7 linked regions of the Zea mays genome follow. The protein of the gene in region 1 binds, or shares a complex with, the protein of each later gene. Links are inferred from orthologs where the notes say so. Each region holds a gene or a part of one and is shown in the gene's direction. Other genes may lie near its edges. The genes, in order: Mediator of RNA polymerase II transcription subunit 13-like, mediator of RNA polymerase II transcription subunit 8, Mediator of RNA polymerase II transcription subunit 33A, mediator of RNA polymerase II transcription subunit 18, Mediator of RNA polymerase II transcription subunit 21, mediator of RNA polymerase II transcription subunit 14 and Probable mediator of RNA polymerase II transcription subunit 19b.

Region 1 (3,500 bases):
TCTCCTTTACAATTAGAAACAGTTACCTGTTATATCTTAGAAGTAGTCCCTCCATTCTGGTGTTTGTGGTTTTGTGTGTTTGTGGTTTTGTGCACAGATATTAATATAAAATTATAACATATCCTGAAAACTACCATGTTAAATTAACTTGCCTTGTCAACCACGGCAAGGCTTCAGTCACCAATGAAGAAATGAATTAGGCATTGAAAAATGTAGCAAACACTCAATATGGTAGGGTCTGCAGGTATATCTCTTCTTGAAAGGCTATAATAATAAACAAAAAGGTACACTTTTGCCTAGCCACACAACAAAGGAAAAGTATGAGGATAGTAATTAGTTCTTCACCGCTCAATTTACAAGGATGTCTCTCTCATGTTTGTACCATTGAGAGAAGAGATTTAGCTTTATTGGAAGTGTTGATTCTTTAAACAGGACAAGTATGTGAGTGATGTTTGGAGTCGTGTCTTGAAGGAAGCCATTTATTTCTAAATTACTTCTCAGTTCTCAAGAATAAAGAAGATTTTTACTATTGTTTACTATATTTTCTACACTTGACTTGTTTGATTAATGCGTAATTTCACTTTTGTCTGTTGTTTCCACCATTTATATAAGTTGTAATTTGTGTTTATTTCATGATTATTGCATTGAATGTTGCAGTTGTTGTTGCTCCTAGTGGGATGCTGGGTAGGCTTGTCGGTTGTTGTCCAAGTGATCTTGTACGACAAGTTTATTCAAGGTATTTCAAAAGAAGTGAAAATTATTGTTACATTAAAAATGTATTCTGCATCTGTGTGCGAGTATTCTCAAAAGAAAAATCATTAATCCCCACTGGTGAGCAGTGTGCCTTTTGGCCTTTTGGATGGTTGCAATGTAATCTACAAGCAAGCATTTGTATTAGTTTCATGAGATGTTCTTTTATGAAAATTATTTTGTATTCAGTATTTCAGTTTTTTTAAAGATGTCCATATGTACAGATTGTCACTTTGACAGTGTTGTCTCACATTAAGTTCCTTCAACAATTGCAGCAAATCATTGACGCCTAATTTACCAGGTTTTAGTCAACCTACTGTATGCCAGCTGAGAGGCCAAAGTTACTATGTTGAAGTTGCGCTTGGCTTTCCAGCTGCTTCAGCCAAAAAAGTTTCTGAGTTTGAGCATATTCATATAAAAAAAGAATTGGATCCAGTGAAGGATGCTATGGTCGGTTCTGATGGACAGCGTAAGGTAGAATCACCTGATGGCCTTCCAATTCTTGAGAGGACATTTATTTACCCACCTGAAGCTGTTTTGGTACCTATGGTCCATCAAGCATTTGTTCGCTTTTCGAGCAAACGGTACTAGTCTTACACTTTTTCTTGCAGTGATTATAGCGGACATGGCTTATGTTTTGTTATTTGCAGAATGTGTTTACAGGGCTCGCTGGGAAGTTCATCATGGGAGGCATGGCCATTCTGGAATTTTGCTCCGTCTTCTTACTTTCAGAACAGGTCAGTCTCAAATTATTTGTTTCTTTGGCATGCTGTATCAACAATACTACCAAGAATTGATTATTCGTTGTAATTTGTAAACATGTTTGTCCACTCACCATGTTGTCTATAAATTGAGGAGCTCCATGAAAATCAGCACTTACAAAGAAAATTTTGCACTTGGTGCCTCACAATCATTTTTTTCTCAAAAAGCGCAGGAGAACTGCGCCCCATAATATAATAAGAAGATATAGGAAAAGGTCTAAAGAAGACCAGAGACAAAACAGCTTCCTTACGGAGGCCAGTAGCTAGCATACAAAAAAGAATCCATCAAAGATAAACAAGGAAACACCCTAGAAATCAGTTAATGGGGCAGCCAGAGAGCATAGGCCTTTTGCCCCAGCTGTTTCCCAACGACTTCTCATCAGCAGATGCCAAGATTGACGATAGACTTGGCGTCCTTCCGTCGAAGACACATTTATTTCGATGATTCCATATTGTCCAAGCGCCCAGAATGATAAGGGAGTCAAGACCTTTTTTGGTAAGGCCAGAAACCACATCTGAAACCTCTTCCCACCAACTCCAGAAGGAGGTGACAGTCGACTGAGAGGCAAGGGCGTGCAGCCCAAGTTTTCTCAGAAGCTGATAACCGAAAATTCTTGAAAAAGAACAAGTCACAAGAAGATGGTCCAAAGTTTCTGCCTCTTGGTCACATAAAGGGCATTTCTCAGGGTGGCTTAACCCTCTCTTAGCTATTTTTTTTCTTCGAAAAACGCAGGAGAACTGTGTTTCATTATATTAAGAAGGAGAAAAAGGTCTAAGAAGGCCAGGTACAACAAGACGGGCTTCCTTATGGAGGTCGAAAAACCAGAAAACCAAAATAATCCATCCGAGAACAGCAACCTACTACTTGTCTAAACCCCCTCCGAGACTAGCCCTCAAGGAGAGGGGCAGACAGGCAGGGAAGGCCTTTAGCCCCAGCCATTTCCCACATCCATCTTTCTTCCAAAGCCATCCTAATGGCTAAAGACACATTAGGGTTCCAGTTATCGAAGACACATTTGTTGCGATGGTTCCAAATAATGGAGGCCCCCAAAGCAATAAGAGAATTGAGCCCCTTTCTAACAAGACCTCTGACCGAAGAAGAGGCTTCTTCCCACCAGCTCATGAAGGAGGACAAACCAAGTTGAGGGCTAGCATTTGAAGGTCGAAAGTCCTCAGCAACTGAAACCAGAACATCCTTGAGCAAACACATGAGACCAGGAGATGATCTAAGGTTTTATTCTCTTGATCACACAAGGGGCATTTCAGAGGGTGATCAAGCCCTCTTTTGGCCAACCTGTCAGTGTCCAGCACCTGTTATGCGCAACGAGCCAAAGAAAAAAATCTGCATTTAGGCGGGGCCCAGGTCTTCCACACCCCGGGATAGTGGCTGAAATAGACAGATCCCATGAAGAACCCTTTATGAGCCACTTTAGCTGAATAGTTACCGTCTGGGGCAATACTGAAAACATGTTTGTCTTCAATAGAAGGCTGTAACACTATTTCAGAGATAAGGTTCCAAAGCTAAAGGTAATCCACCAAAACTCCCACCGAGAGGGCCCCTTTGATGTCAGAGATCCATCTTTTATTTAGGAGAGCCTCCTGAACAGTTCTTCTTTTTGTGATCCTCCTGGGAATACACTGAAAAAGCCTGGGAGCAATGTCACATATTCTCTGCCCTTAGATCCATTTATCAGTCCAGAATAGGGTGTTGGCGCCATTTCCAACTTCTGAAACAAGAACAGTGGAGAAGAAAGCCCGAACCTTATTAGGCACATGAAAAAGGAGCTGCGCTCAGGGACGAGTTGGATCAGTTTTATGCAGCCATAACCATCTCATACGAAGAGCCCAACACATCTCGGGTAGACTGGAGATGCCCAGGCCTCCAAGCTTAAGAGGACGACAAACTCTCCCCCAAGACACAAGACAATGCCCTCCCTTAGCCTCTTTGCGTCCTCTTCAAAGAAAGCCTTTTCGGATTTTGTCAATAGT
Region 2 (4,253 bases), on another chromosome or scaffold:
TCACCTTGCAGTACTTACAAATGGCTCCATACCATACCATCTTACCATTGACAAGGTGAGTCGGTTCATCAAAGTCATGCCACACTTTAGATCTGAGAGGACACTTACTGGAACTGGTGGCGGCGGTGCTTGTGCCGGTCGGTGTCGGGCTCGTGGATCCTGTGCCCGCTTGACCACCGGTGGCGGCACCAGGGACATCATCATCATTATCGATGTTGATGGCAACACTACTGCCAAATAGGATCCGGGCATCCTCTGCTTTGTTATGATATTCTAGCCGGTGCTCCTCGTCCACAACGGTCGGATGAAGGTCATCGTCCATGCCGTAGACAGATGGCTCCTCGCCGACGACTGGGGTCCCTGGACAGCTACGTGGCACCGACACAAGCGATACCTAGGAGATTCATCACATCCATGGGATTCCAATCAAGATCTAATACACAAGAGAAGGGGATGGAGATTAGGGTTCAGGACATAACCTGCGCAGCCGGAGCACCTTAGTCGCCTTGAGAGCACCACCGCGAGGAGGAACACCTCTGCTAAGAGGATGTCAGGAGCCGAGGATGGGGATTACTCTATTGGGATTCGGGTGTGAGGAAGGGAAGATGATGAGCGAAGAGATGAGGAGAGTATAGATGTCCAAACAAGCCGTCGCTGGTAGCCGTCACCAGTAGCCGTCGGCGGGAGAGGCGAGATTTCGTCGGTCACCAAGGAGCAAGAGGTAGGAGCCACGGGAGAAGGGGAGGGGATTAGGTTTAGGGTTTCGAGCGAGCGAATGCCGGGGGGGTGCGTCATGGGGCAGGGCCGATGTGTGTTATGCGGCGTGGAACGGACAGACGCCGTGTCTGGCTCATTTTCGTGCTGGGTCGGGCCGAGCACGACGTGCCGGCCTCAAAGCCCAAGCACGACACGTCCACCGTGCCGGGCTGTCCCGAGCTCGATGCGCAGCGAGCCGTGCCGGGTTGGTACCAGGCTTCGGATAAATTTGGCTGTCCGGCCAATATAGACATCTATACCTGTTAAACTGCTAAACAAACTTAGCATCATCAGGCATCGGCTACACTATCATTGTAAAGTCCGTTTGCTTGTAGGTTGGCTTTAATTAGCCCCAGCTCCTCTGTGTGAACTAGGAGGCGTACGTGCCATCAAATTCTGTAAAGTTTGAAGCATGCTGCAGGCAGTATACTCGTGAGGATGACACAAAAAACACATATTTAGTGATACCAATTTAATGGTGTAAATACCACCGTCTCTTTTTGTATAAGTATATTAACTCTAAGTTTAGTTAAATAAAAAATAGTTTAATATATGACGACTCTGTATGCTCATCTCATCTAGGTATACATTTTGTTAGGACTTCTCCAAATTTTGAACTCTGCATTATGAACTTTTGGATTCTGGACACATGTTTTGTCGAGTGCAGAGAATTGACTTGACTGTCCCCCGGCCCTCACATGTCAGTCTGAGCCAGACACGCAAACTGGTGGTACCGCCATAACGATCTGAAAACATCCTCCATTAGTCCGCCTCCGGCCACCCCCTTTCATTCCGCCGCAACGCCACCGCCCCCAACGCAAGTTTCCGGCGATGGACCCCGCGGCGGCCGCGCTAGGTGCAGTACCCGCCGCTGGCGCGCCACCTCCGGGCGCAGCCGCAGGGGACCAGCAGGCAGCTCCCCGGGTTGAGCGGCTCAGCGCGGGGGTGCAGCAGCAGTTGAACCTGGAGGGGATGCGCGCGCGCGCGGTGGGGCTGTACAAGGCCATCTCCCGCATCCTCGAGGACTTTGACGTCATCATACGCACCAATCCCAGCGCCTCCCCCAAGTGGTAACTTCATCCCCAGCCCCGCCCCTCTTATTGGCTATCGGCTGATGGCTGGCAGCAGTGGATTCTAGGGTTTAATTAGGATGCCTCTGCTCGTGTGGCGTCGCTGCGCGATTGCTTACTGGTATGGTATGGCTGCCTCTGGGTGAATTGCAGGCAGGACGTGCTCGGGCAGTTCTCGATGGTGAGCATGGAGCTCTTCAACATTGTGGAGGACATTAAGAATGTGTCCAAGGTGTTTGTCGTGTACCCCCGGAATGTCAATGCCGAGAATGCAACAAGTATGCCGTTCTGAGTTTTTTCCCCTTTATGGATATGCATATATCTTTTGTTATCTGTGTCAATTTGGTTATCACGTAATGGTATTTGTTTTCTTAGAAATCATAATTAATATTTAGTTGATCTAACATAGGGGAGTTTAACATCTGTTGGTTATGTTCTAGTTGCATGGTTTACTGATTCAGTCATGAAATAAATCATCTCCAGTTCAGGGACAACAATTTCCAAAGACATTAAGAGTTCTTTGCCCTTGTTTGTAAAAGTTTGGTTGGTTCAATCAAGACATGAACAACAACCTCTCTGAAAGATTATCAATGGAAGCATGTAATTTGGGAAGAAATTATCTGATATGAAAATTTGCTCAGTTTATGTGTTGAAGTTTTGCTATGTAACCAACTGTATTGAGTCCAAAGGAATCCATCAAACATTTTCCCTTATTTGACCCAACACTAAATAGTCTTTCGTTGTTCATGGTCCAGTATTGGTGAACACCTAATGAGATTATGATTTTCAACACATGATGAGATTATACGATTCATTTATGCTTCCATATATTTTTAGAAAAAAACCCTATGATTTTGTTTCTAAAGTAAGGATGAATGATGACTACAAGTATGACCAGTTGGGCTAATACTTTGCTGTGCCGTTTCTTTGGGGTCTTCTCACAAGTTTTATTACACATGAAGATTCAATCTAAGATTTTTCTTACTGTCAACTGATGTTTATTTCCAGTTGTCCACTAATCAAAATTCTGAATTAGGTTTCAGACTTTTGAAGTTTTCTACTAGCCATGGCCTTAATTTCATGGCAAGCTATTCTGAGATAAATAAACACAGTGCAAATGACCCAACAAAAATGTATTGGAAATGGTCATTCTAATTGTTCTGATGCATTGTCATCTAGTGTTCCCATTTTGCATACTATCAATGGTTTGTACAGTTATTTATTATTAGAGTTGCAGTATAATCCTTATGAATATTGCAGTACTACCTGTAATGCTGTCGTCAAAACTGCTGCCTGAGATGGAAGTTGAGGAAACTACTAAGAGAGAGCAACTATTGTCTGGAATAACTAATCTACCTGTGCCTACACAGATTGAAAAATTAAAGGTGACCAATTTAGTATGAAAAATGAAAACCTATAGCATGTGTTGCTAGCTTGATTTATCGGCTATCTATTAATTAGAATGAACCTGGTACCATCCCTTTCAGGTTAGAATAGACATGATTGGGAGTGCATGCGAAACTGCTGAGAAAGTAATTGCAGAATGCCGTAAGAGCTATGGGCTGGGAAGCCGTCAGGGGACAAATCTTGGTCCTACATTGGACAAAGCACAAGCTGCAAAGATACAGGAGCAGGAAGGCCTACTTAGAGCAGCAGTAAATTATGGTGAAGGTGAAAGGCATAGTGCTTGGTCAATATTAATAAAAAATGCAATTAGATTTCCAAAATAAAGAGTCCTTTTTACTTCTATTTTGTGTTACAATTTCAATACTTATAGCCTTACTAAAATTATCTGAATGCCAGGATTACGGGTACCTGGAGATCAGAGGCATCCACAATCTCTTCCTATCCATCTGATAGAAGTGCTTCCTTTAGGAGACGGTGCACAAAATTTTGGTGATAGTTCTGGTATGTAGATTTTCTTGTGTATCTAAACTCTCTTAATGAACCTCTCCTCGTTTTGAGTTTTAACATCTGTCGATTGTCTCATTTTCATGCGCTATAGACCGAACTCCTATTGTGCTAGGATTAGTGTTTATCCTCAATTGCTAAAATCACGACCATTTGCATTGAGATATGTGCTGTAAAAGTTCCTTATATGTTTAACATTTGCCATATTAATGGGAGATTTGTGCCGTAGAAGTTCCTTGTATGCTTAACTCTTTGGCATTTGCATTGGAGATGTATTTGACAAATGCACATCTAATTTCTATTTGTATTTGCAGGTAGTTATCCCAAAAATATGTCAACATTTGCACCTAATAGTGTCAACAGCCAGGGAAATCAGATTCAGGTTTCTGTTATAACTGAGTTATTATTATGATATTAGAAAGGGTCTATCTTCTATTGTTATCACTCTTTTGAATTGAAAACCTCTTTGGTTCATTCTGTTTTTATGACATCAGTCATCTTCCCATGGTGTTGATA
Region 3 (4,061 bases), on another chromosome or scaffold:
TATTATGTATTTAAAATTTATGTTCAAAAGAACTTAATAAAAATATAATATTTTTATTTGATCACGATTGAAGTAAGAGTGTTCTCATTTGATTTTTATTGTGGTTAGCTGAGCAAACAAGGGGAGAAGTTGACGGCTTATGAGCACTGTGGCACACAGCTGCTGTGCTCGCTGGATAAAAAAATTTGGACGAATAAATAAATCAGTCACAAAAATAAAACTGGATGAGAAATAAATCAGGACAAACAAATCAGCGACATAAACGAAAAATATGGACAAAAAAAACAAATAAGTGACAAAGACAAAAAATATTAAAAACCACCCACCATGGGGCTCGAACCCGCGACCACAAGGTTAAGAGTCTTGTATTTTACCAATTAAGCTAGACAAATTTTCTATACAGAACAGAGCTCGGCGCCATGATCTATGGCGCCGAGCTCGGTACCACGTCGGCCCCACGACATTCGTTTGTGCCAACGCAGCACGTACCTCGGCGCCATAGCCTATGGCGCCGAGCTGTGTTACCTCGGCGCCACAGGCTACGGCGCCGAGTAAATGGTCAAAAATGACATTAAAATTTTCTAGGGTCTAAATGTGATTTTTTTTCCGATGAAGGACCAAAATGCAAAAAATTCGGAACACACGCATACCTACCGTCTTCTCCTACTAGTACTAAAAAGAGAGAGAGATTTGTTTGGCGGAGAGCGAGACAGAAAAAAGTAGTACCATATCTGCAGGTGAAGTGGTCAGGCTGTGTCACTGTCAGTTCCCACTCACTCACTGACGCCGTAGTAGGTGAGCGTGAACTCAACGGCCCAACTCCGAGGGCCGAGCCTGACGCATCGCCACAGTACCCAGCCAATCCGAACAGGACGACGGCCGGCGTGGCCACCGCGCCGCGAGTTGGGCTGCCGGACGGACGGTCGGTCGGCGGGGCCCGCCGCGCGCGGGCTGCAGCAGCAGCTTTTTTCCAAACCGCGAGCGACGAAGTCAAGGGCGCCGGGACCACGTGTCAACGGGTGGGGGCTGGATCACGGCAATGGCACCACCACGCCACTTGGTGTGGGACCACACGTACCTCCAGGATCCGCTGCGGCCAGTGGTAGCCTGGCGACTCCATTTTCTCTTGGTTGGAAAGCTCGGTCACGCAGAAGATCCTGAAGCGGCGGCCCCACCGCGAGGTGGTGCGGTGGGGGACTGGGGGGAGAGGTGGTTACACCAACGGGACGCCATCAGCATCATCGGCGATCGGACCACCACCAAACCAACCCAGCAGCACAGCACCTGCAGGGCTGCAGCAGACACCACTCCAGCAGCCTCTCTCTCTCTCTCTCCTCACCGGCACGGCACTCCACGCGGCGGCAGGAGCACCCACCGCCACTGACGGGCGGGGGGGAACACGCGCGGCCATGGCCACGTCGGCGCCGCCACCGTCCTCCGCGCCGTGGCTGGAGTGGGCCGCGGAGTATACCAAGGCGGCGCAGGCCGAGGCCCGCCCGCCGCCGGAGTGGGCGGCGCGGGTGGCGGCGGCCGCTGCGGCGGCGGGCGAGAGTGAGGACGTGCCCTGGTCCGCGGGGCTCGCGGAGGTGCTGGCGCGAGCGCTGTTCCCCGGCGGCGGCGGCGGCGGTGGCGGGGCTGCCCCGGCGGCCGCCGCTTGGAAGTACGCGGAGGCCGCGCTCGCGGCGCGGCTTGCGTCCCCGGCGCTCCTCCTCGCGCTCCTCTCCACCAGGTGCGGTCCGGTGCTTCGTGGCGTCGGCTTGTGCGTTGTGTCTGTGGCGTGGTCCGTGGCGGTTGGTAGGATCGGAATGGCGGAATGCAGCGCTTAGCTGTCGGGGATCTAAATCGAATCAGTTGCACCTCGAATGCACGCAAGCAGTTTTACGACGTGTCCGGTCAGGTGTTTGCCCGTACACGAGTTTTACCAGGAAGCTGACGTGCTTCGCCCCGATAATTTGAGGGGGCGGAAATACGCTGTGTGGCAGTGTCATGTGTCAATGCATTGCCAAATGACAATGTGGGTAGATCACACCATGGGAGAAATGCCTGTTTTAAGAATATATAAGCAGTTGGACACTCAGTCGGTAGGCTAATCAGGGCTTCACTGCAATCCTCGTCCAGTTTTTTTTTTCAAGAGAAACAGGGTCTTGTAATAGCCAACACGGTTAGTTTGACCTATGTTTTGGGACTGGAAAAGTAGTTAGATTAGCGTGTGGCAAATCCCACTTAGTACTAATTATTTCACTGGCTGGTATTGCTGTCGTGCAACGTGCTTGGATTGTGTGGTGTGTGACCTTATGATGGAGTTAGGACTTTTCTCAATGTTTATTCTTATGGACTTCGTTTGTTCTTCGGGTCCTGCAGGGTAATTCCTCACCGGCTTTCCAGGCCAATGGAGTATAGACTCTACCTTGAGCTCTTGAAAAGACATGGGTTCAACTTCCATCATCAGATGAAAGCAGCAAATTTCAGAAAGTGTGCCTTTCCCCTCTCTGACTGCTCCCTGTATTTTCTTAACACTATGCTCAAGTCAGTGGTCTGGAATGAGAATCAGAGTAATAGGTGTAGTGTTCAATGTAATTTAGCATTATTCTTAATGGCCTTAAAAATAAGCATTTCAGTTTCAGGTGTTTGTAATTGTAATAAGGTTTACACTTGTATATACACCTTGTTGTGTGATGTCTCTGTAGTGGATTAGTGGTCATATCTTAATGGCCTTAAAATAAGCATTTCAGTTTCAGGTGTTTGTAATTGTAATAAGGTTTACACATGTATATACACCTTGTTGTGCGATGTCTCTGTAGTGGATTAGTGGTCATATCTGTCATTTCCAACTAAGGGCCCCAACTTTTATATGATGGAAAGTCTACTTGTCTTGCAGTAATGCATGCAACTTCTCTTGAATTTGTCAAGGCGGCATTTATTGCCGAAATTCTTCTGGAAATTTTCTTATATATCTTTTATACATTACTTATGTTCTTCACTTCCTAATACTTTGCACTGTTATTGCTCTATAACTTTAAATTGTTTTTTGGAAGTAAGAGTGTATGTGCTTCCATGTGGTTTTTAAGCTTGTTCCTTGCACTGTTATCTATTCATGCACTCTATCCCTATAGAAGTCTCAAATGCAATTGAAAAAAGGGCCTGTCTTGCAGTGTTAAATTTGCTGGAGCAATAAGAGATCCTTGCTAAAGCCTCTCTAATGTTTGCAGGATCATGGATATAATAGAGCGGAATCTTAGACTTTCCAAGATATTTGGCATCTCTACATGTGAACCAGGGGTTTTTGTTGTGCATTTCATTCTTTGTATTATATGGCAGTTGATTGATGTTGTTCTGGATGATGAGGGCCTACTAGAGTTAACTCCAGAGAAGAATGCTCAATGGCCAACAAGGCCTGAAGATGTGAGCACATTTGAAGGAACTTTTACTGAACAAAGAACTGAGAAGATCAAAAAGTTACAGAAGATGAACACTGTAACAACTATGGAGCTCATTGAGCATCTTCTTCGCGATAAAGTAATTACTCGTATCCTATCATTGGCACGCGAAAACATGTATGTCTTTTCAACTTGAAGTACTCTTTTACTGAATTGTTTCAGGTCTTTATTTTTGAGCATTTGGAAATGATGAATTCATCTTTTTGCTGATTGGTCATTAGTAATCTGTTTTCAAATATATTAGTCAAATAACAAACTAGATCTTCATCTCATAGGCTCATGACCTCATAAACTTCACTCAAGCTTATGGAGGAAGCCTTGGTTTATTCCTGTTTGTGTGGGATTTGGGTTTGGGGAGCTACAAATAATTGCTCAAGATTTTGCCAGTAACATAACCAATGTATCATAGAATATTCTGTGTATTTTCTCTAATGCAAACATTTAAGATAATGTTCTAGAAGCACTTAGGGTTATGCAAAAGGAAAAAAGTACAACTGTCTATGCTTGTGGTATTTTATTCGCCTTACCTCTTAAATAGCCAAGAAAAGTTTTGATAAAAACGGCAGCCATGGGACTCGAGCTTTGTCATGATCTGATGAACTGATGGGTGAATGTAAACATCAA
Region 4 (3,946 bases), on another chromosome or scaffold:
CAACTGGGAGATGCCACCTAGATTAGATCAAACTCCTCATTGTGTGCCTCCTCCTGAACCACCTGTTCTTCTCCTATGGGGGTGTGAGACAGAAAGGGTGAGCTCACATATGATCATAGCTCAACAAGTTGTGGGGAAACTAGTGTGCATGAACTCACCAAAGGTGAGAGTTCATGTGAAGTGTAAGGCTGATCAACAAAATAAAGGTTGAAGCTGAGCATTGCTTTTATAAGTTGGTCAAAATTTTATTAGCAGTTACTAAGTGTAAGTAAATACCAAACCATAATAAATAATAGAACAAAATTAATAAGTAATCACATGCAATGCAAATGACAAATTGAATTTAAGTTCCATTAATTAATCATGCGACAGTTCTGAGCTGCTCATGACCATGAGCTCGGCTAGTATACCAGTTTTACACTCTACAGAGGCTGTACCCTGTATCCACAAGTAATGTTACCCATCTACCAAGGGATCGCGACTCTCATACACCTCTACCAAGGAAGCGAGACAGGGCAACACTACGAGGCCTTTATAAAGTTCCACTAGATTTCGACTTGCAAGAATCCCCCGTCTGACCGCCATCGCAGCAAAATCAACCGAGAACCTCTCTGCATGTAACTCTCTTACTGCCGTTGCCCCTTTCGGGTAAGGTAGTTTTCCACTAGCTTTCCTAATTAGTTAGTCAAGGGGTCTCATTCCTCTCTTGTGGTGACACATGTTTCTCAAGTTAAGCTCTATGTTCCAATTAAAGATAATAATCTTGACATGAATAAAAATAAAATAACAAAATAATTGGAACATGGATATAATGAAATATTAACCCAAAACCATGTAAAGAAATAGTAAAACTATCAAGTGATTTAGGAATAAAAAGGTAAAGTGATAACATATCTAGAGTAACCTATTAGGTCTTATCAAAATTAAAATAAAAAAAGTGACAAATAAGGCTGAACAACCCCCGCACCGCGACTAGGCTGAACAATCCTGACTCAAGCCCACGGTTTATCTTTTCTGTCCGAGATCACCAAATTTTGATACTTTTTTCGTTTTCGCTATTAACCAAAAAAACAAATTTCAGTCCGTTTTAAATGGATTTGATTCAAAATATAACAATATAAAAAATAAAAGATTAGTCAACGAAACGAAATTTGGATCATTCCAAACGAGACTGTGAACTCTCCCAGCTCAAGCCCACCTCCCTGCTCAAGCCCAGCCGTCCACTGCCTGGCTCCCTCGTCCGGTCGTTCCCGTCTCCCTCCTCGCGTCGCGTCCACCATTGTTCCTGTCGACGCTGCGCCGCACGGCTCGCACCGCCGACAGTGCCTCAGTCCTATCGAGCCTCCCTCTTCCCAGATCAGGCCCTAGCTGGGCTACAGCCGCCGCCGCCGCTGCCGCATCCGTCACCTTCACACCGCGTGCGCGCGCGCTCTCTCTCTCTCTCTCTCTTTGCGACGACTGGACGGGCTACCGCAGTCGCCACCATAGGCACCACGCCCTTCGCTGATCTATTCGCTGGCGAAGAACGCTCTCAATGTATTCCCACTCCCACCCCCTTCTTCTCTCTACCCGCTGTGCGAAAACGAGTTCCCGAACTCTAACCTAACTATTTGATGTCTACTAACTTCTAATTTTGTTTTTTACTGCCATACTGGTCCACCCCTGATACACATATAACAAATCCACTAACGTGATTCTTTTTTTTTGGGTGCAAAATCATTGTGGGACAGTAGAAGATCGATGGAGTGCGTGGTGCAGGGAATCATCGAGAACCAGGTATTGTGCCACAATGCAAGTTGGCACTGATGGTTTATGTAAAATTTGATTTTCACGCATTCCACTAACATTTGAAAGATAGGAGCTCTTTCATCATCGTTAGTGCAGTCTATTTTGTTATGCAGATCAGACATTAACTTTTCCTCTCACTGCTTGCATCTAGATTTGATAAGTATTTTGAATGGTGTATAGATTGTTAATATCTATTTGTAAGTATATACTTATAGTATTGAATTTGTTGTTGAACATTTCGTTACTAATTGAATTCCGTTGCTGTGGACAAAACAATCTCATATTGATGTACATGTACAGTGCACAATGTTGAGCTTACGCACCATACAATCTAGCTTCATTTTAGTGTTCAGTTGAGCTCCCTTAGGTATGGCCACTATCCATAGTTGCCAGTTGGTGGTCACTTTTCTGTTTACTCCATCACAGATAAATACTAACAAAAGTTTATTTTATTGAAGTGATAAATAGATAGATCATGTAGACCACTAAATGTCAACAATTTATTCCGCGCTTTAAGGCACTACTTCTGGAGCTTTTGATTTCATTTGTTTTTTTTCTTCTCAGCATGTTAACAGAATAGTAACATTTAATATACAGTTGGGGGAACATATGATCTATCCTTGTGCTTTTACAATAGAGAGGAACTTAATTTTTTGGTATGTTCTAGTTTATGTGTTGTGCACAGAATGTAAGTTGCTCTTTGTTGTACTGCTCTGCCATTAGTTTAACCTTTGTTTGATCTTTCCATTTTGCAGCATGTCGATGCTCTTGAGGTTCTACTCCAGGGACTCTCTGGTGTCCCGAAAGAGCGTTTTAGGGTGCATGAGCTCTGCCTTAAAAGTGGGCCCAATCTAGGTTAGTTTGTGATTAGTCTACTCCTCCATTCCTACACATGTGGCGTATTAACTGACGTCTTGCAATCATACAGGTGTTGTCCCATCGGAGGTTCGTTTGTTGTGTGACTTAGCTCAGCCCACACCATCCTGGTAACCGAGACAAGCTGCTGAAAGTCTACCTTTTGTTATGTTTATCATTAATTGTGACAAGATTGTAGGACCATAAGACATGTTGGTGGTGCCATGAGAGGTGCTGGTGCGGAGCAAATCTCAGTTCTGGTTCGTACAGTTGTGGAGAGCAAAGCTAGCAAGAACGTCTTGCACTACTTCTACACCCTAGGGTACAAGCTAGACCATGAACTCTTGAAGAGCGGTTTTGCATTTCGTTTCCACCGAGGTGCCCAAATCACTGTCACTGTTACATCTGCTAACAAGATGTCAAGGCTCCATGCAACCGATGAAGCTACGCCAGTCACTCCTGCCATACAGCTAGTGGAAATCACAGCTCCTGCTGCTGCTGATAATTACAATGATGTTGTTTCAGCTGTCACTGCGTTCTGTGAATATCTTGCCCCGTAAGTACCCCAAAGCTTGAATTCCGAGGCAACAATCAGAAAACATATAAGAATGAACCAAACACCTTTTTGGTTTTAATAATCCTTGGAAATCTGCTGCAGGCTGCTGCATCTGTCAAAACCAGGACACTCGACAGGAATCGTTCCAACAGCAGCCGCTGCTGCTGCCTCACTCATGTCAAGTGGCGGTGGCAAAACCTTGTAATGCTGCTAGGACAGCCAAAGTCCGTTCTTGCTGCTAGGACAGCCAAAGTCCGTTCTTTGAGATGAGTGGGCGTGGCTAATGAGGTGGCCTTCTTCGTGCCGAGCATTTGAGCAGTCAGTTTTGCCTGCTAGTGTTGTCCATGTCTGACACATCGTTGTGCCAACCTTGCTCTTGGTTTGACTGGTTGCATGATTGCTGATGGGTAATGCCCTGCCTTGTAGTTGCAGGGTGTAACAATCTAGTATTACCAATATTAAAATTTCTCAAAAATCCAAACCATAATTTCTTTTCTCAAAAAGAAGTTTATCTCATGTGTATATATTTTTCAACTAGGTGAGTGCCCGTGCGTTGCGACGGAAGTAAAAAAATTGTATGAAATATATAAACGGAACGACAAATATCATTATGATATGCAAAATCCGTATGGTAAACATTATCAATATTAGTGGCATGTCCTTTGTGGAAAGACCACCCATTAAAAAGTCATTGATGCACCCATCGGTCGAGACGTTGACAGGAGATTAGTATGACACTTAAGATTG
Region 5 (3,734 bases), on another chromosome or scaffold:
ACGCGCTAATCTCCTATAGTCGTTTTGCATATCCCCTATGATATTTTGCATTTGTTCACGCTGTTCATCTACATAATTCTTAAGAGATTACAGCTCGTTTGTATTACTTACATTGGGGATGTCTGGCGTGGGTCGCAGTGAAGCCGGATCTGTCGCCCGATGTCGGACGACTTTGTTGTTCCTGTCCACTTTGAAGTTGGCCAAGAACCTCGCTTTTGCCTCCTGGATCATCTGCTCCTTGTGCTCCTCGAACTGGAGCTGTTCGTCAGCCGGCAAGGTCTCCTAAGTCGGCTCTATGATGTTGCTTGGGGAAATATTAGAGCTATCTCTTGAACCGGCCATTGAGGGCCGATTTGATGCGTCTATATTTGTGTCCCCAGCGGAGTCGCCAAAAAGTATGTTGACACCTTTTTGGAGGCGCCAATCACTTAAAAAAACCAGCGGCGGTGCTCTCTGGTCAGGCGCGGACGGTCCGCGGCACAGGACCGGACGGTCCGCGACTTGGCGCGAGGCGGTGGTGCTCTCTGGTCAGGCGCGGACGGTCCGCGACACAGGGCCGGACGGTCCGCGACCTGGCGCAGGAGCTAAGGTTCCCTGCCTGACGGCCGGATGGTCCGCGCCCTAGGGCCGGACGGTCCGCGCGTGCGCAGGGGCGGCGGGAGATCGCCGGCGGCGCCTGGATCTCGCTCCCGGGAGGGACCCCGTCGGGGAGGAGAGATCCTAGGTGGTGTCTAGGCTCGGGTAGACTGACCTAGACTTCTCTAATCGACGTAGAGTCGAGGAGAGGCGGAAGATTTGGGGATCGAGAGGCTAAACTAGAACTAGACTAGAACTACTCCTAATTGTACAGGAAATAAATGTGAAATATAAGTTGTATTGATTCGATTGATGATTACAAATCGGCCGTATACCTCTCTATTTATAGAGGAGGGGGCTGGACCCTTTACAAACTAATTTCCGAGCTTTTCCCGCGATTTTAGCTAACAAACATAGCACAAAACTCGGAACCCTAATTTACTCTGCGCACGCACGGACCGTCCGGCCCACAGGCGCGGACTGTCCGGACCGCGGACTGTCCGGCCTCCGTCCGCGCTCCTTTTGGTGCCAAACAATTTATAATTTTGTCACTCTCAGTTTTGACTTTATTATATTATCCCATATCTATAACTGATAGAATCATCTGTGTCTATAATTTAGGGTCCGACGTCATATTAATGAAGCCTATAAATGACAATGGTAAAATTGCCGATGGCTCAGCATTCTGCAAATGTGTGGTGACCGGAAGACTTGGTGGTATCCCAGGAATATGAGCGAGCATCTTTTGAATACCGGCACATACATTTTTTAGATCCGGCCTGGTCCATGCTACGTGGGCTGGATCCTGCAGACCCATTCCTGGATGAAATCGGCCTGCTACAATAAAGCCGCCGTCCTGCAAGTCTGGGACGGAGGAAGGAGAAGAGGGAGAGAGTGGTGGGGATTCGGCATGGACATCATCACGCAGCTGCAGGACCAGCTCGACGAGATGGCCGTGCTGGCCGTCAACACCTTCGGCACGCTGCAGAGGGACGCGCCGCCGGACCGCCTCTCCAGCAGCTACCCTGACCCGCTCAACCCCAACCCTAAGCCCGAGGACGACTCCAAACCCCAGGTCCAGGCCCAGCCCGGCGCGCCGCCGCCGCCACCGGCGCAGGCGCAGGCGCAGGCGCAGCCGCCCGCGCCTGACCTCACCGAGCAACCCAAGGCTATGAGCCGCGCCCTCGTCCTCGCGGCCAAGAAGGTAGGTACCCTGCCCCACTTCTCTTCTCGGTGTCCCCATCTTCTGGACCAAATGCCCGCCCGGTGATTCCAAAATATCTTTGTGTGGTTAAGTAGAAAGTTTCGGCTCGCTTCGTAGTTTTACTCGTAAGTCTGATGCTGCGAATAAGTGAAGGACCAACTGTTTAATTTTTGCTTGCTTGCCCGCGTTATGTGGAGACAAACAATGAAACCGTGTTGCCACTTACTAGTCTTCATATCTTGCTCCATTGCATAAGATAAGATGTTTATCCCAACAGTGTACAGAACAATCTTCATCTCTTGCTCCATTACATAAGATAAGATGTTTATCCCAACAATGTACATAACGTAGAGTCTTCATCTCTTGCTCCATTTCATAAGATAAGATGTTTATCCCAACAACAGCGTACAGACGTAGAATCTTCATCTCTTGCTCCATTTCCTAAGATAAGATGTTTATCCCAACAACAGCGTACAGACGTAGAGTGATGCATACGGGAGGGAGGGAGTGAGGGAGATCACTTTGTGTTAACCATGGTTGAAAACTTGAAATGTAAAGACTGGCAAACTTTAGTTCAAATTATGCTTGCTGCAGTTCCAACTTTTTCCCCTTAAATGAGGAACAATTATGGCCTTCTATGCAGTTTGATGCACTTGTTGCAGCAGTGCCACTATCATCAGAAGAGGATCAAGTGAAAAGAATCCAAGAGCTACAGGTAGATATCAGACAGTCAGATTAATTCATCGAGCACAGGATGGGCATCTGCCAAACTCCTACTCCAAATAAACTGTATGAAAATCTGAAATTTGCAGGCAGAGAATGAAGTCGTGGGACTGGAGCTCCAGAAGCAACTTGAAGCTGCCGGTAACACGATCCCCACTGTTTCTAGAGTTCTTACTATTATATGTCTAATTACTGATGTCATTGCGTTACAGAAAGGGAGTTGAAGCAGGTTGAGGTGCTGTTTAATGAAGCAACAGACAATTGCATAAATTTTAAGAAGCTAGATTAATTACGTTAATGTAAGTTGAGATGAATTTCTTCCTACAACTTATCAATGCACTGTCAAAGTCAATTTCTCTTTTAATTTGGCTCCAACAGTTACTTCTTGGTTTTGTATGTATTTGGCATCAAGTGTTGGAAACCGATCTAGCTCATAAGATATTGTGTTGACGTAAATCCAATGTCTGCCATAGCAGGTTTGCTGAAAAGAAACTGTTCCTGTGGATGGAGTGTGGAGGATGAATGCCAGTAAGAACTTTATATTCCGTCTTTTCAGATTCTCTACTAGTGAACAATAATTGCACTTAGCTTTTGTGTACTGGCATTCTGATCTGCCGGATTAGGATTGACCTTTGGTTGTAAGGTGCAATGTTTTTAGTATGAACTGACGCTTGAACTGTGGTGGTCTTTTTAATGGATCTGGCACCTGGCTTCCTCTGGGATTTCTTCTATATTTTGGTATTTGTTCAGTACCTGAGACCTTTGACACCTGTTCCTAAACTCCCCTCCAGCCACTGGCCTGGAGTAGAACTGTATTTGGGAAATAAAAGCACGGAAATTCTCTCTACAGTGCTCAGACATGATACTGGTTGGTTCTGCAAGGATACTCCCTGCTCACTCACACAGACACAATAACAAAACAAAGAGAAGGAAAAGATGCATCATTCCCCTACAGCCTTATTCATCGTCCGTTGAGCACAGCAGCAGCAGAGCAGCCCGTCGTGTCAAGCATATTTGCAGGTGCCAAGGCCTGCAAGAGGATCCAATGATCCATCATCCGGTGTCAGCTCCCCCAACACGGTTCACGGGCAATGAGACACTCACAGCAAGCAAGGAAGCACTCACTGGGGTCAGTGATGGTGATTATGCCGGTGCCGTTGAAGAAGCAGTTCCACGAGTTCCTCCCCCGGGCCTGGTAGTAGGCGTTCATGGCCACCGACGCCCGCGACAG
Region 6 (4,223 bases), on another chromosome or scaffold:
TGTCCTTCGTAACCTTCGTCCGAAGATCATTATATCCTAAGGGAGATAATGTGATGAAGGACAAAGGTCTATAACCATTAACATTTGTGTTGCCTTGTTCTTGATTCAAAGCTTTTGAGAACAAGTGCCAAACACTCGTCGAGTTCGAGCTTTTTTCCCAGCCCTAGCCACGGCCACGGTCCTGCCCGGTCGGCGGCGCGCGCACGTGTGGCAGTCCTTCATCCTTTTCTCAGCTTCTCAATAGATGCACCAACGGACCACCTATTTAAGTTGATTGAATTGTCCCTTAAACTTCTGGTATTATACTAAAGTACTAGTACACCGTAGCATTAAAATGGGCCTTTAGCATTGACTATTATTGAATATTAATATGGGCCAGACCCACATTAATTCAACAAATGACACTATAAGGTGACTTATGCAACACTACCTCCTTCCAAGAGCACAATAGTTGGAAGCTCTCTTCTCAAGTTACAAACAACACTTTCAAGGCTTTCTCTTTTCCATATCAAACTGTGTCATGAGCAATTATGCATTTGTAGGTATCTTGAAGTGAACTTTGTAATTCCTTAGCACCAATGTGTGGTTTCTTCACAAGGATAGGAAGAGCTTTTAAAGCTACCCAAACACTTGTTAGAGTGCTAGTCCTCCTCCGTCTATTAGATGTACAAATGTGATATCATTTAGCATAATCATCTATAAAAATAACAACAAACATCACTATAAAGGCAATAACGTAAATAGATAAATAAATGTAAAGTTTTTGATATACATAACATACAAATATAGTCGGTGAATCATACCTTTCAATTATTGCATTAATGCTCCAAAGACAGTCACCTCCTCGGCAATAACCTCTGTATTTCTTAGGGCATGTACAGTGGTGTTTAATATGGGGGCTCTTAAGGTGTTTTAGGGGGTTATTTGCAAAAAAATCTTAGAGCCGTCTCTCCGTGAAGAGACGCCTCTGGCTCGTAAACCAAGTAACAACAAACGCCTCACTTCCCACTGTACGAATTTGTCGTCTGTTCTATCGATCTGATGCTATACAAATACATTTAATTCTGTATTTATTAACCGACTACGTTTAGAGACACTCCATTGTACAATAGAGTCTCTTAGTTGTCTCCTGTGCTTAGAGAACCGTTTTGGTGTCTCTCCACTGTACATGCCCTTAGGGCATGTACAACCCAGATACGACTGCACGGTACTTCAAGTATAAGACACAGCTAAAACACAACACAATACAGTGGTCGTGTCTAAAACGTGTGTCTTACCATATTCATTGTACCAATCAGAGCATTCAATAAATTAAAGTGACCAATCAGCTAGCCTCCTGTCTCGAACATAGAGCTAAGACACTGTGTCTTCGTCAAGATACATGTCTTGAGTTTTTTTACATTCACCCCCCTAGACACACTCTAAGACACAACTTAAGATACTCATTGTACATGCCCTTAGGCTACTAGCCCAGGCCTCCGGTTCCGCGTGGGCCCGTCGACTAGGGCGCACTCGCACCCTCCGCCGGTCCTGAACTCATCGATCGCAGAAGCGAGAGAGAGAGAGAGAGGAGGCCGTACCCACGCCGCCGCTTCGCCGCCGCCGACCTCCGTCTCTCGCTTCCACCATCTCTCTCCTTTTCACCCTCTCTCGCGGCCACCCTCGGTCCCCTCCCTGAGCCTTACCCTTGACTGAGTGGTTTCCAATTTCAGTTCCACTCCCTCTTCCACCACTATTCACGGGGAGGCGCGGCGAATCCTGCGAGATTCCTCCCGGCCCACGCGTGCGCACGTTGGCGATACAGGGCTAGAGTTTCGTCTCCGGCGCTTTGCGGAGTTAATTAGGAGAAGGAACTGGAGAATGTGTAGGTGGTGGGCGCTGAAACCCTAGCTGTTCGGGACGGGCGTGCGTGCGGGGATGGCAGGGGAGCTGGGGCAGCAGACGGTGGAGCTGGGCGCGGTGGTGCGGCGTGCGGCGGAGGAGTCTTATCTCGCTCTGCGGGAGCTCGTGGAGAAGTCGCAGGCGGAGGCCGAGGGGAAGGGCATCGGCGCCGGAGCCAATGGCAGCTGGCAGCGGTCCGACACCGAGAAGAAGATTGACTTGCTCAAGTTCATCACACGCACACGCCAGCGCATGCTTCGTCTCCACGTCCTTGCCAAGTGGTGTCAGCAGGTGATGCCTAATTTCAGTCTTTGCTATTTCTCTTGCTTGTCTGTCTCCTTGTCATAATTCTGCTGAGGTATGCTAAGAATTCAATCTGACTGGTGTGAGTGCCTAATATCCTGTTTTAGTTTGGTTTAGTGGCATTGTCTCACCTATCTAGCTCGAGTGGCATGTAAAGAAGGATATTCATAGTTGTTGTCTTATTGCAGTGTAGTGGGATAGTGAAGATTGGTGATTGTTGATGAATTGTGCCAGCATTTTTGCCCCTAATTTTGTAGGGTCTGTACTCCAGTTCCTAGTAGGACACAAATGATTGTTTGGTGGACAAAATGTAATCCAGTTCAATCTTGGCATACTCATTGATTTGTTTATTTTGTTTTGGTGCAGTGGTATTATGAAAAAGCTCAATTTGTTTCGCACTAGAAACTTATATTATTTTTCTGGTGCTGTCATGGTGTGCTCTAGCATAAACGACGAGTGAAATAAGACCGTTTTACAATGTACTTGAAATAGTGCGAACTGCGAACCACCATGCACACATAGATCAGGGGAATGTAAAATCAACAAATATAATTTAATAATTAAACTATTAAACCATTGAAAATGCATTATATATCACGGGAGTCGCGAAAGGGCCTCTAGCCTAGTGGTTAAGGACTTCCGAGTAGCACCTCCAAGTCCTGGGTTCGATTTCCCCCCGGGAGCGAATTTTCAGGCTTGGTTAAAAAAATCCCCTCGCTGTGTCCCATCCGCTTTTGGGTTACGATGTCCTGTGCGCCACCCTCCGGTTGGGCCGTTGCAGAGTGGACAGTTGACGCCGGCCCGTTAGTGATTGGGGGCCAGGGTTCGGGGATTTTCTCGGCCGGGACCATTGTTTCGGTCTCTTCTTAATATAATACCGGGAGGGCGGTCTTTCCCTCCCCGGCCGAGTTTTTTTTTATCACGGGAGTCTCATTGATTTATATTGCTTCCATTTCAAATTGTAATATTTCACTATATGGTTTGAACTGTGGTAATGTGGTTGTTATGCTGTCATAAATATTTGTTTCTAGCATATATTTGGTGCAAGCTAATCCTAGTGCAATCGTGCAAGCCACTTTTGTTTTGTAACAAAATCAAGATGAAGTATTCTGATTTTTATTAGATTGCTCATTATCTGGTTCACATCCATAAAATCCTTTTCTTTTAAATTTAATTGACAACTTGACATATAATTTCTGTGCTACAAATGTAATTAAACGTAGGACAGAAAAATGAGACTGTCTAGTAAAAAATAAGTTGACAAGGACAATGAAAAGTTTAAGATTTCCTTTGTCCCAACCAAGCTTAGATATAGCACTGAACTAGTCCAAAGAGCACTTCCTCAACGGATCCAGAAGTACTGAGGTTGATTTAATGGCATTTTACATCATTCCACTGAGCCAATGGATTCCTTTAAATATGCCCCACTGTACCTTAATTTTGTTGTTATGTCAGGCTGTCAGCTGTGTACCTAGTGCTGAAAGCTGAACACAATGTGGGTTCTGGAGAAGGGGATTCTCAACAGCCTCACCCTCGCATAATTATGCAAGGAGGCTGTTTCAAACATGGTTATTAAAGCGGTAAAACGTTAAAACGTTATGAACCAACTTTTCAACGTTTAAACGTTTAAACGAACGTTGAAACGTCTTTTCAGACTTGACATAGAATTTCAAATATAGAATAAGTTCATACATAAGTTGAGTTCACAAACCAAATAGCATTAGCATAAAAAGAAACATATCAAGTTCAACAACACAAGTTCAACCACACAAGTTACAACTTTTATGCATGATTAGTAACCATCATCGAACTCATCGATATTAAGACCATGAGCATAGCGCCTTGATCGTCACCATCTTTTCCACTATTGCTTCCTTCAATTTCATCTTCCACATCAAGATCATCAAGAATATATTCCTCATCATCTTCATTTGCTAAATTAGTCTCCTCTTCCTCAAGGTCTTCATTCCTTCTCACACACCCACCACCAGCTCTCCTAGGAAAATTACGACCTCTGAGATGTGCAGATGCACCAATAG
Region 7 (4,114 bases), on another chromosome or scaffold:
ATCTCACCTTAGCCCACCATTCTCAAAGTCCACAACTTGTAATCTCATCCCAATACCAAAACCATCACAGGACGTAGGGTGTTACGCCTCTCGCGCGGCCCGAACCTGAACAAGCTTGTGTGTTTCTCCTGTCGTGCCACCGCACGAACCATCGAGTCATGATCGACGACGCCGTCCTGCCCTAAAAGCATCACGAGGGTTACCCCATGGTGTGCGGTCGGGTAACAAACACCGACACGGGTCAGCCCTTTCCTTTTGCGGGTTTGGTCGTCAGAGACGCAGGCGTCCGTTCCGTCTCGCTGGGTTGCTCGGCGGGGACTTGACCATCCGTCCCGCTTCGTTGGGTTGCTCGACAGGTCTTGGTCGTCCGTCCCGTCTCACTGGTTTGTTCGATGGGGGCCTTGGTCGTCCATCCCGCCTTGCTGGTTGCTCGATGAGGTCTCCTTAAGATACTCGGTTCCTTGGTACTCGTCAATTTTCGCATTCGATTTTAATATAGATATCAAATATATGTATGGGAATTCAACTTTCAATATTTTTCTCTAACCAACTATAGATTTGTATTCAACGAAACCGTGGAATATCCAACACTATCTATACTCGTAAAAAAAAAATCGACGAAACCATTTAAAATGTATTATTATCACTAACAACAAATGATTTTAATTTTAAAAACGCTACCAGAAAAAAATATGTACATTATTCAGAATACTACACAATGATAAATTTAATTTAATTTTAAAAGACTAATTATAATCACATTAGATTACCTATGTAATAAATACGTTATATCTATATGCATTAATGTATTTATTTTCATTGCTAAAGAATATATCTTCATTTATTAATCATATATGCTTATAACATATATATATATATACATACAATATAGTTATAATTTACTTGAAATATAAATTTTTATTGACTATAAATTCGTCGATGAAACAAAATTATTATATATTGCGACACTATGTTCCAAGATGGAAACTTAAATTTAAACTATTTATTTTATATTCATATTATTATATTTATATTTGATATTACCTTCGTTCTCGAATATTTGTCGTCGATTTGTTTATTTTTAAACTAAAACATGACAAATAAAAAAGAATAAAAAGAATGGATAAAGTAGTATTTATACTCGTATTCTAGTTAAAATTATTTGTATATGATAATATTTATAATAATATTCAAGTTAGAATATGATAAATAATAACATCCGAATTTCAATTTTATTTCTAAAATTCTTTTGGAAAAATGGAGAAGAAGCCACATCTGGGCAAGTGCGGGGGTCGTAGGGGTTCCCGATCCTTCCTTTCCCACTTCCCCTTTTTTGCCCGCCCGCTACCCAACCGCCGCCGCGGTTCTCGCTGCCAGCGACGGACGGGCCACACCGCGCAGGGGCTCAGCCCCGCCACCCACCTTAACCCCGCCGTCGGGAGGCGTCGTCCCCGGCCCGGCCCGGCCCGGCCCTCGCCCTCTACTGCAACTGGACTGGCGCGTAGACCTGTCCCCGCCACGAGATCGTTCCGCCCTATGTCGGTGAGTTACCCAAGCTTGCTCCGGTGTGCGGGGCTTCCTCACTGCTGCGGCAGTTTGAATTGAGAACCCTAATAACCTCCGGTCACTCAGGCGCGCCCGCTTCGTGGCGCTGCTGCGGTGCTCCCCTACTTAGCGCGCTCGAGTGCTCCACCCGCCTCTAATGTGATTACTGATTAGGCTCGTAGTATCCAGCGTGCAGGCGCAGCCGGGCAGGCTCACTTTATCTGCCTTCGGTGCATCCTGGCTGGCTGCACGGGTGTTCTCTATAATCAGTGCCCCGACTCGATCCCCATGCCCTGCATCCCGGATACACTGGTGTTTCCAGGGGGAGGGGCTGTCTTGGACACACTGCTGTTCCAGGGGTTGTTTCTGGACCAACTGAGTTCATGTGTTGCAACTGAGCTTCTAGCCATGCTTCCTGCCAGTTGCGGATCCAGGATTCATAAAGAGCCTAGGCTAGTCTATGACCAACCAATAACTACGAACAACTGCATATATACAATGACATGCATAAATTTGTTTGACGCCGACAAATATTTTTCTGAATGTATTACCTAATACGTATGCAAACATTTAAAATAAACTATAAAGAGATAACAAAAAAGTGTTCACAAAAATAGAAGATATTAAATGGTTTGCATTCCGAGATGTAACGATAGATAATATATCATAATTCATAATAGGCTGGATTGGTCCTTCAATATGTATGATCTTCTAATTCGGTCTACAATTTGAGGAGGATAGTCACATATTTGTAACAAGGCTTCATGTCCCAATCACTTGATGTCAATATAAAAAAATATTGAACAGTCTAAATCTTCCGGACTAACAAGTAATAACGCTACAATACTATAATTAGTTAATAAGAACAAAAATGCACATTACATAAGTTTAGATTGAGAAATTGAGAAACGATAGCAGTGTTGGGCTGGGAGCGTCACGTAATTTGCATGTCACGTTTGGGCCACGGTCTTTTCCTAGGTCTGGACCGTAAGTCCATGATCAGAAGCAGACCCACGAGGAGACAGATCAACAAGCTGTTGATGTCCACTTGATCCCGTGCAGAAGTGGCATCACTTGATCCACCTATGCACGAACCTACTCGATGTGCAGCACCGGCACAAACCAGAGCCCGGGCACACGCCTGCCCTGCCCAGGAGCTCTATCCGCCTCTGCTTCCTGCCTATTGCCATTGGTTGCGATGCTGGGTTCTGGTCGTAGTAGTTATGATTGCCTGGTATCCTACGTACATTGTCAGAATCATTTTGTATTGGTCAGTGATCCTTTATGTAGGTGTGTTCTCTCTCGAGTGCTCTTTTTTTTTGCCACTTGTGGATTTATGGTGCTTGGCAGTTTCTCCCCTTTATCACTAGTAACTGTACACGAGGTTGGTTGGGTGTGAGTGAGTGGAATCCCACAGACATGTTTGATTTGCTAAAGTCGCAGTACACACACAGACATATCTACAAAACAAACATACATGTTAACTCCCACGCATGATTTGCTAAAATCACAACACTTTACACGTGATAATTGATATGTAATTCCATATTATTTCAAATAAGACAGGCAAAACATGTTCATTACTTTTGATGTTGACACCATATATGGTTATGAATTGTCTTATCGATGTTTGCTTGGCCATGGGATTTAACAGGCCTATGTGGTGTGTAGATCAAGGTTATTAAAACGGTAAAACGTTGAACGCTCATGGGTGAAATTTTGACTCTTAAACGTTTAAACTTTGTTTAAACGTAGTTTTAAACAACACAGGAAAAATACCAATACATCATAATTTCAGACAATAATATGAAGTTAAATACCAAAATAGAGAGGTTAGTGGCTTACCAAAACTTCACCCATGAGCTGGATTGAACTTCAAAAGTAACTAATAGACTGGGCCCAAAAGTAGCTAATGGTCTAAAATGCATAAAAACACTGCGTTTTAGAGTTTAGAACGCCAAAACGCTAAAACGTTGTTTCAACCTCTAATTAGAGTTTTGACGTTTAAACGTAGTTTAAACATCGTTTAAACGTAGTTTTAATAACACTGGTGTAGATATGTAGTAGTGTATATCGTGTTTGTTCATTGCAGAACCAGTTCACTTTACCTTTGCACATTTGTCGTTACATTTTTTTTGTAATCGAACTTCAGGTGAAGATGCTCTTTGCATAGCTCAAGCTGCAATCTGATGGACCCTGATGACAAGAAGTTTGGAAATGGTAGGGTTTGACTAAGACTCACATAAATGAATGAAATGCACCACGGTCCACGGGTCCTTAAACTATTTCTGCATTGTCATCTAAGCCCATGAACTCTGAAATTTATCATCCGGATCCTTCAACTTTTCAAGTGGTTCATTTTATGGTCACTCTAGGTCCAACCATGGACTTGAATTTACACTTCAAACGAATCACTTGAAAAGCCGGAGGACCTAGCTGATTACTTTGAGAGTTCATGGACCCAAATGGGAATATGGGGAAGTTTACCCCCCCCCCCCCCCTGTGGTTCATTTCACTCTAAATATTTATTTGGTGGACAAGCAATTTTCAGAGATGAAATTGTTAAAAT

What was found.
Region 2: Mediator of RNA polymerase II transcription subunit 13-like (region 1) and mediator of RNA polymerase II transcription subunit 8 share a complex: the UniProt entries of both Arabidopsis thaliana proteins name them as parts of the mediator complex. The link is inferred for Zea mays from reciprocal best matches to the Arabidopsis thaliana genes GCT and MED8.
Region 3: Mediator of RNA polymerase II transcription subunit 13-like (region 1) and Mediator of RNA polymerase II transcription subunit 33A share a complex: the UniProt entries of both Arabidopsis thaliana proteins name them as parts of the mediator complex. The link is inferred for Zea mays from reciprocal best matches to the Arabidopsis thaliana genes GCT and RFR1.
Region 4: Mediator of RNA polymerase II transcription subunit 13-like (region 1) and mediator of RNA polymerase II transcription subunit 18 share a complex: the UniProt entries of both Arabidopsis thaliana proteins name them as parts of the mediator complex. The link is inferred for Zea mays from reciprocal best matches to the Arabidopsis thaliana genes GCT and AT2G22370.
Region 5: Mediator of RNA polymerase II transcription subunit 13-like (region 1) and Mediator of RNA polymerase II transcription subunit 21 share a complex: the UniProt entries of both Arabidopsis thaliana proteins name them as parts of the mediator complex. The link is inferred for Zea mays from reciprocal best matches to the Arabidopsis thaliana genes GCT and MED21.
Region 6: Mediator of RNA polymerase II transcription subunit 13-like (region 1) and mediator of RNA polymerase II transcription subunit 14 share a complex: the UniProt entries of both Arabidopsis thaliana proteins name them as parts of the mediator complex. The link is inferred for Zea mays from reciprocal best matches to the Arabidopsis thaliana genes GCT and SWP.
Region 7: Mediator of RNA polymerase II transcription subunit 13-like (region 1) and Probable mediator of RNA polymerase II transcription subunit 19b share a complex: the UniProt entries of both Arabidopsis thaliana proteins name them as parts of the mediator complex. The link is inferred for Zea mays from reciprocal best matches to the Arabidopsis thaliana genes GCT and AT5G19480.

What each region holds. Positions count from the first base shown.
Region 1 is NC_050104.1:30,378,979-30,382,478, forward strand, and holds part of Mediator of RNA polymerase II transcription subunit 13-like, read left to right. Parts: intron 1-657; coding exon 658-736; intron 737-1,025; coding exon 1,026-1,334; intron 1,335-1,400; coding exon 1,401-1,487; intron 1,488-3,500. UniProt on the Arabidopsis thaliana protein: Component of the Mediator complex, a coactivator involved in the regulated transcription of nearly all RNA polymerase II-dependent genes.
Region 2 is NC_050102.1:151,801,048-151,805,300, reverse strand, and holds the start of mediator of RNA polymerase II transcription subunit 8, read left to right. Parts: upstream 1-1,453; 5' UTR 1,454-1,587; coding exon 1,588-1,826; intron 1,827-1,979; coding exon 1,980-2,104; intron 2,105-3,086; coding exon 3,087-3,211; intron 3,212-3,313; coding exon 3,314-3,497; intron 3,498-3,629; coding exon 3,630-3,734; intron 3,735-4,051; coding exon 4,052-4,119; intron 4,120-4,253. UniProt on the Arabidopsis thaliana protein: Component of the Mediator complex, a coactivator involved in the regulated transcription of nearly all RNA polymerase II-dependent genes.
Region 3 is NC_050097.1:165,234,306-165,238,366, reverse strand, and holds the start of Mediator of RNA polymerase II transcription subunit 33A, read left to right. Parts: upstream 1-1,261; 5' UTR 1,262-1,409; coding exon 1,410-1,729; intron 1,730-2,361; coding exon 2,362-2,472; intron 2,473-3,209; coding exon 3,210-3,554; intron 3,555-4,061. UniProt on the Arabidopsis thaliana protein: Component of the Mediator complex, a coactivator involved in the regulated transcription of nearly all RNA polymerase II-dependent genes.
Region 4 is NC_050100.1:126,532,858-126,536,803, reverse strand, and holds mediator of RNA polymerase II transcription subunit 18, read left to right. Parts: upstream 1-1,146; 5' UTR 1,147-1,536; intron 1,537-1,730; 5' UTR 1,731-1,740; coding exon 1,741-1,776; intron 1,777-2,543; coding exon 2,544-2,643; intron 2,644-2,716; coding exon 2,717-2,774; intron 2,775-2,842; coding exon 2,843-3,199; intron 3,200-3,301; coding exon 3,302-3,404; 3' UTR 3,405-3,668; downstream 3,669-3,946. UniProt on the Arabidopsis thaliana protein: Component of the Mediator complex, a coactivator involved in the regulated transcription of nearly all RNA polymerase II-dependent genes.
Region 5 is NC_050099.1:37,998,873-38,002,606, forward strand, and holds Mediator of RNA polymerase II transcription subunit 21, read left to right. Parts: upstream 1-1,486; coding exon 1,487-1,780; intron 1,781-2,423; coding exon 2,424-2,495; intron 2,496-2,592; coding exon 2,593-2,644; intron 2,645-2,715; coding exon 2,716-2,792; 3' UTR 2,793-2,802; intron 2,803-2,976; exon of another isoform or gene 2,977-2,979; 3' UTR 2,980-3,234; downstream 3,235-3,734. Other genes in the region: putative X8 domain containing family protein isoform 1 precursor, read right to left, coding at 3,508-3,533, 3,629-3,734. UniProt on the Arabidopsis thaliana protein: Component of the Mediator complex, a coactivator involved in the regulated transcription of nearly all RNA polymerase II-dependent genes.
Region 6 is NC_050097.1:176,303,064-176,307,286, reverse strand, and holds the start of mediator of RNA polymerase II transcription subunit 14, read left to right. Parts: upstream 1-1,423; 5' UTR 1,424-1,917; coding exon 1,918-2,172; intron 2,173-4,223. UniProt on the Arabidopsis thaliana protein: Component of the Mediator complex, a coactivator involved in the regulated transcription of nearly all RNA polymerase II-dependent genes.
Region 7 is NC_050096.1:177,736,240-177,740,353, forward strand, and holds the start of Probable mediator of RNA polymerase II transcription subunit 19b, read left to right. Parts: upstream 1-1,314; 5' UTR 1,315-1,542; intron 1,543-3,697; 5' UTR 3,698-3,734; coding exon 3,735-3,765; intron 3,766-4,114. UniProt on the Arabidopsis thaliana protein: Component of the Mediator complex, a coactivator involved in the regulated transcription of nearly all RNA polymerase II-dependent genes.